Lytechinus pictus: one gene and its partner. Each later gene encodes a partner of the first gene's protein in a complex. Links are inferred from orthologs where the notes say so. Each region holds a gene or a part of one and is shown in the gene's direction. Other genes may lie near its edges.

Region 1 (7,299 bases):
TCATATATTCCATACCGCACTCTGTCGCACGAATACAACACTTACCATTAACAAAACATTTCAAATTATACGGTTATTTGTATACCGAGTTGAGTGAGAGTCGATACAGGAATCATACAAAGAGTCCTTTACAATTTTTGTTTTCAATTTGATATTTAGCTTTTATTACGAAATCGTTACGAACAGCCCGCCTTTAACAACTCTGCGCCCCCCCCCCCCCTCCTCTCTCTCTCTCTCTGTCCCCCCCCCCCTCTCTCTCTCTCTCTCTCTACCCAACAAGGTATATTGTTGGAATCATATTGCAGACAAATTAAATAATGTTGGTATCGATCCACGGTGTCGCCTTACAATAATCACTATTAAAAAAATATGGGGAAATTAGTAATATAATTAAAGAGTTTTGAGCTCTTAATTATACTAACATCTCCTTCAATCACATACATTTTTTTTCATCGATGATGCATTCTTCCGTCTGATTTATGATTGGCCTACCATTGCACAGCAAGATAGAATTATAATATATTTTGGTAGAGATATATGACTTTTTTCGAGGGAGGGGGGGCATCTCTTGCATCTGAATCAGTGGCATAATGAGCGAGCGTGCGAAATGACCTTTTTTTAACCTTTTTAAAAATTCATTTTTTTGATAGATTTAGAATTGCTATTTACATCAATTTTTTTTACAATTTTTCCTTTTCTCCTCCCCGCTATTTCCTTAGGTTCGTGAAATTTAAGGTAGCCATGGCCCCCGCCCCCCCCCCCTTACGCCAGTCGCGCATGGGACGAGTGCAGACGAACATGGCATATTGGAAGCAATTGTATTCATTGCGAGCGAGCGAAGCGAGGTGGCAATTTGTTTTTACCTGTTTAAAGTAATGATAATTATAAAGGCTGACATAATTATTTTTCATAATAACCTTCTTCGGTTCCTTCTCTTTTTTCTCCCTCCTCTTTTGGTCGCGGAACATTGCTAAAACCAATTACCCTCCCCCCCCAAAAAAAAAAAAATCAATTTTTACGCCAGTGTCGGTGTGACTGTTTGTAAGAGGGTGTGGGTTGCGTGTGTGTATCTGCGCACAGGTCATTTAATTTCACACACACTCAATGTCACATATACTCAAGAAAACATACATAAAATGTTCAAATCATTGTTTTGATGAATCGTGATGTGAGATTATTGTATTTGGTTTGTATCGAAAGTACCCATTTACAACTGCAAGATTTTTATTAATTAATTTTTTTTTTCAAATTTATTTGTACTTTTTTTTCATTTGTATGTATTTTTTCACAATTTTAATTTTGCTCATTTGTAAAGCGCTGTGATACAATCATTATGAAAAGCGTTATATAAATACTCATATTGTATTGTATTGAAATGAAGTTAATCCATGATAACATGCTGATAATAACAAATCATGATGATAATTATAATAGGAACACCAATAAGTTAACATTATCTGCAGAATATCATTACATTTTGGTCTACCTTGAAACCAGAGTGAGGGGTTTGTACATAGCACGGGCCCACACCTGAAAAGAGCACATCACCCCCCCCCCCACGGGTTTCGATCGGTGTTCATTTACTTACTTTGATTTACTTGGATGTATATAGAGACATAAAGCTATAAAGCTTATTTGTCCCTCGTCACGTAGGGTTGTCTCTGGTATGGTGAATATTTTAATGGATGGGATTTCCAGTGCCTCTCGATTGCAGATTTAAATGCATTTAGCAGAAACTGCTACTTCAGGCAAAGCATTCCAGTTATTAATGCTTCTAACTGTAAAAGCATATTGCCGTGTCTGTAATCTACATCTGTATTTCCTGAATTTCATACTATGACCTCTGGTCCTTTTATTATCATCAAGATGGAACAGGCTACTCAGATCTATCCGATCAATACCTCTTGTGATTTTGAAGATTTGAATTAATTCTGCTCTTTGCCTTCTGTATGAAAGAGTAGTATAGGGAGTCCAAAAATTATCAACCTTTCAGGGTAATCTAAATGACGAATGTTGGGAAGTAGTCTCGTCGCTCGTTGCTGTATCTTTTCTAGTTGATCTTCATCTTTTTTTAAGACTGGGGCCCAAGCAGGATTACAATGTTCTAGGGTAGGACGTACAATAGCTTTGTAGAGTTTGAGCCAGCCCTTCTCATTTAGAGCCGTGAAGGATCTCTTAATTATGCCAAGCTTGGTATTGGCTCTTTTTGTAATATCAGCGACATGTTCACTGAAGGAGAGGGATTTGTCGAACACGACTCCTAAACCCGGGGGGCCACTTACATTGACGAGTGGATACCATGCGCGACCAAAAAAACACGTAAAAGGGATGTCTTTTTCACGATAGGGCACGTTACGTACGTAACGTAATAAGGGTGTCAAAAACACAAAAATAATGAAAAAGGGTATCTATTTCGCTCGGAAAATTACGTGTTTAGGGTCGAGTTTGCGGGGATGATAAAACAAAATTAAAATGTTTTTATAAAGGATGTCCTTTTTGCCCCAACACTTCGTGTATAGAGTCCGATTTGCGCGAGGTGTAGTAGGTGGGGTCTTACCGGGGTCTTACTAAACCAAAGAAGGTAAAGCCGACGACCGAAGGACCCGTTACAATAAAACATTCCTGAACTTGTTTAGGGTTTCATTTCAGGGAATATTTGCCAAGATCGAGTATCGATTTGTTTCCAATACTTGTTAAGGGTGGCACACGCCAATACTAATTGTTAAGGGGTGCATTTTCAGAATATGGAAATTACGTGTTTAGGGTGCTTTTCGAGACCCCATGGTCGCGCATGGTATCCACTCGTGAATGGAAGAGCCCCCCCCCCCCCCCCCGGACTCCTAAATCTCTCTCTCTATCTTCTGGTTTGACTTCACATATTCCCTCTTCGGTTGGCATCTGATATTGAAAATTTTTATTCCTACGACCATAATGTACAACCTTGCATTTTGAGTGGTTGAGGGATGACTGGCAAAAATATTGATCACTGTGAATGATTTGTTTTTTCAAGTTTAAGGGGCAGAAGCTTTATGAGTGTAACATTCTAATGACCAGTTTTGGCTTAAAGATCAAAATAGCTGCAAGCGAAGCGAGTGAGCAAACATTTTCGATTTTTTTTTTTTTTTTTTTTTAAATACAAATCTATAGTTTTGTGATACATTTTGGCATACTTTGAAATATTATCATTTCACCGTTATGTTTCCTTTCATTTCCACTTCTTTCTTAGTTTTTTTGGGGGGGCATATGGAACCCTAGCCATATATACGTCTCTCCGACAGTGGGGGTTAGTTTTGAAGACCGAAGTTTCAAGTAAAATATTAGTTTTATTCCTCAATAATCAAGGCTTAGTACTTCAAAGGACTGGATCAATAATGCAAACGCGGAGCGAGCGCTGATCGAAAAACTGACCTGAAAATGAGCCATTTTGAGGACTCATTGCTTCTTCATGAAGACATGCACGTCTATGTGCATAGATCTTACTGTTTGACCGAAATAGTGGAAATTTTAAAATATCATAACTTGCTATTCCTTGTCCGAATTTCTTTAAATCATATTATTACGTCATAAAGTAAAACGCAAGACTTAAGAAAAATTGTCACGGAAGTGCTGCCTATCCCTATTGCCCATTCTTCTCTCTACTGCTTCTGCAAGAGAGACCCCAGCTGTAGGTCCTATGTCATTGTCAACTAGATCCGAGCCGATCGACCACTTTTTCAGGTACGAAATATCCTTAATTTGTGGTTGAAAACCTGTTTTTCCTGTCAAAATTTTCCTCCAAAAATTTGCCCCCCCCCCCTTTGGAAAATCCTGCAATCGACCATTCCACGTCTAGCCTCTAAGAACTGTTTCAGAAAATAAGTTATCACAAAAAAATTGCTATAAGAGTTTAAAGCTAATGAAATCATTCAATTTGATTGGTTGATAGACGGATAGTAAACTTGTTATAGAAGTAATTGTTCTTATAACAATTCTCTTTCAGCGGGAAACGGAACCCTGTCAGGCGAAGAAGTACAGTCAAGCCCATGTAATTAGTATACATCTCTATGGTCAAGCCTCAACAAGTCGCTCGCTCGAATATAGGGAGGCGTGACGTAATACAGCTGACTATGAAGTGCCCAAATATTATTTCCATGATACTTGCGAGGTATGATGAGAGTGTATAGAAAGATTATCTTCAAATAAAGTATTGCATCTTAAGTTACTTTAAAGTAAGATGAGTACAAAAAGTAGTGGATATATTTATAATTTAACTTCAGGAAATGTACTCAAATATTGATGAAAAAAAGAAAATTGGCTTGTCATACATTGATTAAAGATCATTTAATTTTCCGCGCGATATATATACCGATAGAACTCGCTCGAGATCGAGGTAGATAAAAAAAAATCAGAAGGTGGGGCAACCAAAATGCATTCAAGAGGATCTTCAAAGAATAAGTCTAAGTCAGAAAATGAGAATCAAAGTCATGGAGGTTACATGTCTGAGAAAATTCGAAAACTTGAGGAGCAGTTTCGAAGTGATGCACCAACAAATAAGGAGAAGTCAGGAACGTCGACGGACATATTTCGCGGGGTCACCATCCATGTGAACGGTTACACAGGTATGTTCAGCCCGGCGGTTGTCCGAGACTCGAAATAGCTGATCCGTTGGTTGGTGGTCGGTCGCGCACTCTGCAGCTCTGACTCTGTCTCTGACTTAGCTGAGCGCAAGTGTATGCTTGACTGCTTGTGAACTTGTGCCTTGTGGAGGTATTAGATCTAATATTAATAATAGATCTAAAGTCTACCCCGTTAAAAAACCCCAACAAGCTCGAGCTCAAAATCTTTACATAGTCATAGATCCGATTAATTTTCTTAACCGAATCTGAATAGATCTAGGGCCTAACTATTATTATAGTAGGGTGTCTGGAGAAAAAAATTATTTTTCTTATTTCAAGAAAATATCACATTTTCTTTGTGAATTTGAAGAGAAATGACCTTCAGACACATTTTTGAAAAAATTCAAATTATTGGCTGCAAAAAAGAAGAATGAAATTAGGTCAATTTTCAGCATTTCTCTGCCATAGACTAGTTAAGAAATGGACACACACAAATCCAAATTTTCAGCTTCCGAGAGCTGTTATAAATTTATTATTAATGCCAAAAACTTGTCCATAAAGAGTCCAATAGGATTTTTTATGCTCTATCTGATGGTGTGATTTTTATAAAGATTTGGAAACCAGATCACAATGAAAAATTGCGACAAAGTCACAAAGTGAAAAAAATTGTGCAAAACAGAGATGTCATTTTCCCATAGAAAACGCATGGAGAAATGGCAATCTCAACACACACAAAAATAAGGGTTTGCAATTTATCTCTAAATCCTAATTCAAAATGATCATATAAACTTGTCCTTACTGTCAAAAGAAGCCCCTGAATTTTCTCTTTCCATACATGCCAAACACAAGTTAATAATCAATTCAGATCACATTTTTCTAGTAGCCTGAACTTCCCCGAAAAAATGTGCCATATTTCCCCCTAAATCAGCCTGTTTTATGCTGACACTTCTGAACAGTTTTGTTGAGCATCAAATGGCAAAGGTAAAAAATACTAGTTGCAGAGGCAAAAATGGTATTGTAAATATACTAAAAATGGCCATGGCTATAATACTTAATTAGAAGCAGAAATGGCTGAGGCAAAACTGGTAGAGGAGATGAAAAATGGCAGAGAATAATAAGAGGAAATCTTTTGAAATTTGAATTCATTTCCTAAGTAAGATTACTTTTTATTTTATGTGTTATGATAACACATAAAGTAAAAAGTAATCTTACTTAGGAAATGAATTCAAATTTCAAAAGATTTCCTCTTATTATTCACTTCTTCTACTTGAGGTATACTTCCCAACGCCCCAAATAAGAGCCAACACTAAACAGGGCAGTAGACTGTAGGCCATCACTTTTTTTTTTACAAATCTTGGTATAGAGATGACATTTTTTGTAAATAAAAGACTGAAGAAGTTAGGTTTTACTCAGAAAATCTAACTTTTGAAATTAATACCAATAGACATTTCTTAAGTTCTCTTTCATCTTTGCCTTCTTTCTTAATCAGAATAAGGATAGCTTGCCTTTGTGATGTTGACAATTCTCCTATTTCAAAACTGTATAATATCGATTCCATAAAAAAGCTTCTAAATCATTCCAAAAACATAAATAAAATTCCACTGGGATACCATCATTTCCCGGGCTCTTGTTTTTGGCCAAATCATTCAGTACTTCTCTACATTCTTTTTTAGAAATTGGTTTTTCCAACTTTTCCCTTTCTTCAATATTTAACATGGGAACACAAATTTTTTGTAGAAACGAATTACATTGTTCTCCAGCTCCAAACCTTACTTTTGAAGTGTATAACTGTTCATAATACTGCTTTTGAGCAGATAAAATATCTTTACAATTTGTAATTAACTGGCCTTCTACATATATTCCGTAACACAGCTGCTTTACATTATTCCTCTTTTCTAATCCTAGAAAGTACTCATTACTCTTTTCTCCCTTTTCGTACCATCGACTCCTTGACCTAACCATTAGCCCGGCTACTCTTTTATTGTCTATTTCTATCAATTCTTCCTTTATCTTTTCTATCTGATTAATAATACCCTCTTCTTCGCTGATGGCAAGTCTATTTTCAAGTAAATTCAATTTACTTCTTAATTGTTGTTCAATATCAGATATCTGCTTTTGTACGTTACTAGAATACTTCACACTAAAACATCGTATCTTATACTTGATCCAATCCCACTTTATTTTTGGTTCCATGGACGAATACTCTATTTTCCTTCATAACCTTAATATATTCTTCATCTAGGAGAAGTGAGGTATTTAGCTTCCAATAGCCTTTCCCTCGCATGTTTTTATTCAAACGTATTTCTAGGTTCACACCTGAATGGTCTGTGCGTAATGCACTAACAATATTCACCTTTTGAACTTTATGTTTCAAATCTCTGTTAATTAAAAAATAATCCAGCCGGCACTGAATAAGAGGTGTGTTTTGTCTCCAAGTGAATTGTCTGCGATTAATATTTCTGCTGCGCCAAATGTCGAACAATTCAAAAGGGACTATAATGTCTTTAATCCTTTGCACAACCTTTTTCTTGACCAAATGTGTCCCACCTTTTTTGTCTAGTTGTGCATCTAAAATACAATTAAAATCTCCACCAATGATAATGTTTTCCTTTCCATCCCATTCTGTTTCTAATATTTTTAATAAATCTCTATAAAACTGTACTTGTAAATTTTCCACATTTGGAGCATATAAATTTAAAATAAG
Region 2 (7,079 bases), on another chromosome or scaffold:
AGACTTTGATTTTTCAAGACTAATTTCAAAAGTATGTTAATCTCTATTTCATAAAACTGACAGCAAGTGGATGATGTCAAAGGTATAGGGGCTATCAAATTGATGTCAACTTTGAAAAAAAATAACCAAAAGATACAAAAGATATAGGATTTTGATATTTTTCTTACTATGCTAACTATTCTATTAGATTATATTCTAAGGATAGGGTTAACTAGGCCTGCTGTTTTCCTTTGTAATTGCAAGGAAGATATATACACGCATGACATACTTATGATGTCATGTAACAAATATTAAAGAAAAGGGACAAATGGGGACATAATTATGACATCATCAGCCATGCACATCATGACGGTTTCGTCTAATATGCCAATTCGTCCAATAGCCAATAGCTATTTTGATCTACCATCAGTTCGTCTACTCACCACATGGTCTACTTTCATTTAGTCTAATGCCATTCCCTCTAATAACACGCGTTGGTCATATAGCCATTTACCATTTGGTCTAATTGGACTAAGTGTTAAATTCTGCAAAATGAATGAGAATGAAATGGATATTAGAACAACTGGTTATGAGACGAAATGGCCATATAGACGAAATGGTGATTAGACGGAGTGATGATCGATTGGACCAAATGGTTGTAAGACGAAATGTTGATGGACGGAATGGCATTAGAAGAAGTAGACCACGGTGGTGAGTGGACGAGTTGGCAATTCACGGTCATGACAGCTTATATACGTTTTCACAATATAATGGCAAGCCCCGGTGGCAAGCTTTGACATTCGATAACTTCATCATTTCTCATTATATTTTGATGAAATTCTCAACAGCGTTTTGTTTTTTCACTATATGCTTTAATTTCAGCTTGGAGTAAAGCTTGGGATCTAGAATTTTGAATCTAGAATCTTTTAAACTCGTTGGAGCCTATTAAAATTCCCTTCATTATCAAGAAAATTATATTTCACAAAGATGTTTAATAAAGCAGAAAGTTTGATTATTTTCCAATCAACGCAAATGAATTTAATATGTATGATATTTCTTTAGTCTTGAATCTTGAATTGTATAATTCCTTTTATTATGTTATTATAAAATATGATAAAGCAAGGTATGTTGTAATATTGCTTCAATTATAATGATAGTCACACTAGCGTACCTACGGGGGGGGGGGACAGAGGGGGCAGACTGCCCCCTCCTGACGAGTCACAACCCATGCAAGGGTCATATCCCTGCCCCCCTGACGAGTCTTGTAGACTTTATTTATTCAATTTTTTTTTTTTTTTTTTTTGCTTGTCAAATTTTTTTCTGGTACGAAATCCTTTATTTGTGTTTTTTTTTGCTTGTCAATTTTTTTTCTGGTACGAAATCCTTTATTTGTGTTTTTTTTTGCTTGTCAATTTTTTTTTCTGGTACGAAATCTTTTATTTGTGGTTGAAGACCTTTTTTTTTTTTTTTTTTTTTGCTTGTCAAATTTTTTGGCGGACGGTTTTGCCCCCCCCCCCGTGGAAAATCCTAGGTACGCCACTGTATAGGCACCTCGATCGGCCCTGCCTCGGCCTATATACTGACACCCCGCATCCCCGCATAACCTACCCAGGGGCCGCGGAACGGTTTTCAAAGTGGGGGGGGGGGGGGGCTGACCATGCAAAATTCACAATCATATGGTCATTTTTACGTTTTTGTACACGTTTTTTAAAAAAAAGTGGGGGGGGGGGCTGAAGCTTAAGCTGAAGCTGAAGCCCCCCCCCCCCAAAAAAAAAAAAAAAAAAAAAAAAAAAAAAAAAAAAAAAAACAGTCAAGTACAAACACTGCCTGAAACGATTATTGGCAAAGCACGAGAAGATTGAAAATATTGCAGGTCAATGGAATAATGTATCATTGATGGTTCCAAATAATATTTACAACATTTTCATGATCCGTAAAAGGGGCAGCCCTGATTTTTCCGAACCTATTTTTGGCAATGTCCCGTACGACACATGAAAATGCAAAAGTTTATCCTACAATTTTATTTTTGATGATGCAATTTCATAATATCAGTTTCTCTATCTTTGACCCATGGGTAATTTATTTATTCCATAAGGATCTAATTACTGCCTTTCATTTTTCAATAATTGTCGTATTAAAAGTTGTCCCGTACGACACACAATTTGTATACTGCATTTAATTGCAGGATTTGGATTCAGAAACTATAAATAGTAGGCCTGTTTTAATTTAAGTAATTGATTTGACATAAAGTGAACTGAAAAAGTACTTTTTTTCTCCATAGAACATGAAATAGGTGATTCCAACCATTTTAATTGACATCATGTAGGCGTATTCTTTTGTGAATCCCTTCAGCTAAACTGGTGATTTTCATTGGTCAGAGCAGGTTAATTTCTTTGTCATTGAGCATGTTATGTTTTATATATTGTTATTATTGCATTGTAAAATTTGTTGGAAAAATGAATGAATAAATGAATGAATGAATGAATGAATGAAAAAAAAGAAAACCTTTATAATTGATTCACTCTAGCCTAGAAGATGACTTCCTCTTGCATGCTAATGTGAAATTATTATAAGATATGTAAAAAAAAGTATTTACATATCAATCATCTGTTTGGACTTCCCTTGATGATCACTAATTTTTTTTAAATACAGTATTGAAACTCCTTACTTTTTCAAGTTGTAAAAAAAAATCTGGAAAATAAGACAAACCATATGGTTTCATGAAATGCAGAAAGGTTTGAAAAAGTAGAATCGCATTTCTTTAAAAAAAAATATTTTGTGGCATTACAAGTGACAGTTGTGAGTTGTGACATATACATTTTATATGAAAACTCCCCAAATCATAACATTTGGCAGCCCCATAATTTACACAAACAGTTTCATTCATTCATTGTTTAAATAGTGTATTAGAAATCATCAATTAATTCACTAAAATAACTTAGAAAATCAAGAGGGGCCTATAAGCTTTCGATCCTAGCAGAATCTTCGTCGGAGGCAAAATGACCCACAAAACGTCACGTTTTCAGCTCGTAAAAATGCTGTGAACCATTGTACATTTCCCGTCATGAAAAAAATGATAATATATTGCTCCCGATTGTATATATTGAGGTTACTTAATTATATTGTCCTGAATGACTACTTATTAAAAGGCTTTTCATTAAAAATTAAGAATTTAGGGGCAATGCTCCCCTTCTGATTGATAAAAAGTTAATTGTTTTATTCAGGCTGTCCAGTACAACACGTAAGTGCTGTTCAACACACAAGTGTCCCGTTCGACACACAAGTGTCCCGTACTACGACACATTATTTTGTTAATGATATATTGACAAAAATATTCAGATCAGCCACTAAAAGCGGTTTCTAACATAATGAATGTCTTTAGTTTGATAGGATTATCATTATAATCAGCCCAAAAAAGTGATTGAAGAAGTCAAAGAGACATAAAGTAAGAAAGTTTGGCTTCAATTTAGAGATGTCCCGTACTGGACACATTTTGAGTGTCCCGTACGCCACAATGTTCTCGAAAATGATAATTTGCTTTATTTATTCATGAATGTTTATTTTGCTTTCTTTCATAGATGTGTTTGTTCTTGAGTAATTGAATATCAATTTGAGTTCAGTTTCAATGAAAATTATCTGTCCAATTCACAGACTTTAGAGTACAAACTTGAGGTTTCTAAAAAAGCCACCTTTTCTGCGTCCGTATACGACACATTACTATTTTAAATCTGTATTATACAGGATGTAAATTCAAGTCATGTTAAGTCTAACTGGTTTTCCTAACACTCTGGTAGTACTTGATGATCACCTTTAGTTACTGGAATACTTTTTGTTTTTCTTGTAAAAAAACTGTCAAATGTTCTCTAAATGTCCCGTACGACACACGTGTATGGAATCATGGACCTATTCCATGATGGAATCACCCCTTTTCATTTTTGGCCACGCCCTTAAATTATCAGCTGAGCTGAGCTGAGGAGCGACTCCATCATAATCCATAGCGTTAAATCAAATACCGGTACCGTACGTACTTTATTATCGCGCGCCAGATCGCAGGCATCTCCCTTCTCATGAACTATGCCTATGAAGCCAAAGGCCCTTCATTTTCTGAATAGAAGCCATAGCTAGCCGGCCAACTGTCAGAATTGCCAGAGTACAATAAGAGGTTGCTGTTCGTTTCACCAGCTCTGCCTCTGGTAAGTCAAATTCGTGAAGTTTTCGTTTTTTTGTGGAAATCTCAAACATTCACTGTCTGCAGTGTGTTCCCACGAGTTGTTTTTCATGTTTGTAAGTAAACGGGGCATTGCAAGAAACTTGCGATCAATTGCAAGTCTAAAGTTGTTTCAGTCATGTGAAATAATACCAAAGAAGAAATTTTAATAAAACTTAAGATTTAAACAAAAGAAATTGAAAGTTGATATGTCAAAACAAGCAAATGTTTTTGATATTCAATGAAATCTCCGACTGATTAAAGATGAGACGAGAATGGAGAGAATGGAAATTATTAAGGGTGCCTTATGTCATGAAATGAATAATACTTAATAGGCCAGCAGTACAGAGCACAATATTAACTTCCCAAATCATGGAAAATATCACATTGATGCTAATGAAATAGACAAGTTTTCAGAAAGGAAAGATTTTTGATTAATCTTTAAGATGATGCAACATTCAGAAAAAAAAATCATGATTTGACTTGCTTAACAGATATCAGATTGTTAAATGTTACATGTTAATGCTATTGATACAGGGTATTTAATTTCTGTTTTATTATTATTGATTTGATTATTGCCATCCTTGCAGCATGAAGGAGGTCTTAAATATTCATACAAACTCTCCCCCTCTTACCTCAAGGTACTATAGGATAGGGTCCCCCACCCATATATATAGCCATCAGGAATGAATACACCAACATTGGAAAGTTTAGAGAAAGAGATGGATGAACAGGATGACGACAATGAAAACTGGTCGTTGCCAGCATCAAGCCTTCCAGGTCAGTCAGGTTATTGCAGCTCTCATCTTGCACTGACCAGCAGTAACAATCAACTTCTATCCGGTAATTTCTTTTTCTTCATTGATATGTTTACAAATTTAATTCAATTCAGTTTAAAGTACATTATCAAGCGTGAAGCCCACTTATGATTCCATTTTTGTTGAGAGAGAGAGAGAGAGAGAGATCTATAGAGAAGGGGGGGGGGGAAGGAGGGGATGGTATATTAAAATTCATAACGTGAAACAAAAGTAGTTTCCATTTAGTTTTGACTTTGCAATATGAAAGTTCATCATACTTTGTTTCATATGCTGTTTGCACTACCATGTTTATGTTGTTTCCAGGTAATAACAATGTGAAGGCAGTAGGCAGCATGGTTTCTAGTATGAAGCTAAACACAAACAAGGCAGGGATGGAAGGCTTAGACAAAGAGAGGATCAATAAAATCATCATGGAAGCCTCAAAAGGTTCAAGGTTAGAAATTTAAAGATAGAATGACGAGATGCTGAATGGAGAGAGAGGGAGACAGAGAGAGAGTGAGAGAGACTTAGAAAGGGGAGGGGGTAGGGTAGAAGAAGGAGAGGGAAAAAAGGGGACTGAGGGGAGGGCATGGCCATATGCTTTTTACTTCTCAAGCTCTTTTGCGAACAATTTAAATTCTTTGAAATTAATATTGAATAGAGATACCTGATTAAGATGGGGAGATGTGTCCCTTCTGTTTTCTTTTTTTCTTCTTCCTTTTTTATAAATGCTTCTCTTTTGGCCAAGCTCAATTTTATCTTCATCTCATTGGGGTTAATAGGAGGATTTTACCCCCCCCTCTTTTGAAAATTATGTGATTGTTAGAATAATAATAAGATGAATTACTATAGCAAAGTCACTACACACATAAACTCTGCTGTACTAGAAGTTAGAAACTTAACAAATATAACTGTTTGCCTTTTTATCATTTGTTTTCAAAGTTGATACGATTGTATTTTTTAAAAAGTGATTATATATGAATTTGTATTCAAGTACTTACAAAACAGTTTCTGGCAGTTACAATATATAGTGTAATGACTTGAAACGAAAGAAACTATTGGCAAAGAACAGGAAAAGAAGGAAAACACAGAAGTAAAGGCTTATAATAGTATACTAAAAAAAAGAAGCTTTGTATGTTGATTGTCTTAAATCATGTATTTTTAACTTGGCTAGTAGCCCATTATGTCTATTTCAACAAATATTATGCATTGCCACTTTTCACCAGAGTCTTTCCTGTTTATTACTCCTTGGGCAACATGCCAAGTTAATTACTTTGAAAGATGCAATCTTCTGTATCATTACACTGTATATTATCATGCATTTAGGTATTATGAGAATCAGAAGAAAAGAGAGCAGCAGACGACGGAGAGGATCAACAAAATGATGGAGAAACTTTCTCGGCTGACAGAATCTGAAAAACAAGCTGCTTTGACTCAGGTGAGTTGATAGAATTTGTTTGTGTCACCTGTCTAGAAATTTCATTAATAAAACAATACCTCATGTTGTTGCATATATATGTTGTACTGCACACAAATTTCTTGGGTTTGTATATGTAGCCTTTTCTGTGTTTTAAGATTTTCAAAAATCTTATTCCAGCTAATAGATCTAGCTTCAAAATACTAAAATATCCCAAAGCCATAGATTGTAAGAACTTGATTGTTGGTATTCTCATAATAAAACCTAGGTTTATGGAATTTTTTGTATTTCTGGAATTCATAGTCAGATCTCTTTGTGATTGTGGAATTCATATGGACATTTTGCTATTAAAATCAATCAAGAATACTGAGTTTTATCATGTATGATAGAACAGTTTATATTTGTCAAATTAATGTATTCAATAATTCTTTGTGTTTATTGAATTTATTCCAGGTTGATGAAATGGTGACAGATCTGGAGCTGAGTAGAGATTTGAGCCGGACCATTGTTCATCTTGATATGGATATGTTCTATGCTGCTGTTGAAATGAGAGACAACCCTGAACTAAAAGATAAACCAATGGCAGTCGGTGGCATGGGTATGTTGGTAAGTTGTCATCATTTTTGTTAGGATTCTTTGATTGGTACATGATTTATTATTATGGGTGTTCAAAATGAAT

Evidence for each region. Proteins that work in one complex are often made in the same cells at the same time.
Region 2: the proteins of DNA repair protein REV1-like (region 1) and DNA polymerase kappa-like are in contact, whole or in part, in an NMR structure (PDB 2LSI), measured with the Homo sapiens proteins. The link is inferred for Lytechinus pictus from reciprocal best matches to the Homo sapiens genes REV1 and POLK. Residues at the interface, in NP_057400.1 of Homo sapiens: Asn1158, Leu1159, Ala1160, Gly1161, Ala1162, Asp1167, Leu1171, Leu1172, Glu1174, Trp1175, Thr1178, Ile1179, Met1183, Glu1185, Asp1186, Gln1189, Val1190; in NP_001374042.1 of Homo sapiens: Lys564, Lys565, Ser566, Phe567, Phe568, Asp569, Lys571, Arg572, Arg575.

The regions. Positions count from the first base shown.
Region 1 is NC_087258.1:19,728,348-19,735,646, reverse strand, and holds the start of DNA repair protein REV1-like, read left to right. Parts: upstream 1-4,271; 5' UTR 4,272-4,405; coding exon 4,406-4,598; intron 4,599-7,299. UniProt on the Homo sapiens protein: Deoxycytidyl transferase involved in DNA repair. Transfers a dCMP residue from dCTP to the 3'-end of a DNA primer in a template-dependent reaction.
Region 2 is NC_087249.1:24,850,953-24,858,031, reverse strand, and holds the start of DNA polymerase kappa-like, read left to right. Parts: upstream 1-3,973; 5' UTR 3,974-4,172; intron 4,173-4,827; 5' UTR 4,828-4,872; coding exon 4,873-5,029; intron 5,030-5,307; coding exon 5,308-5,437; intron 5,438-6,309; coding exon 6,310-6,421; intron 6,422-6,853; coding exon 6,854-7,006; intron 7,007-7,079. UniProt on the Homo sapiens protein: DNA polymerase specifically involved in DNA repair. Plays an important role in translesion synthesis, where the normal high-fidelity DNA polymerases cannot proceed and DNA synthesis stalls.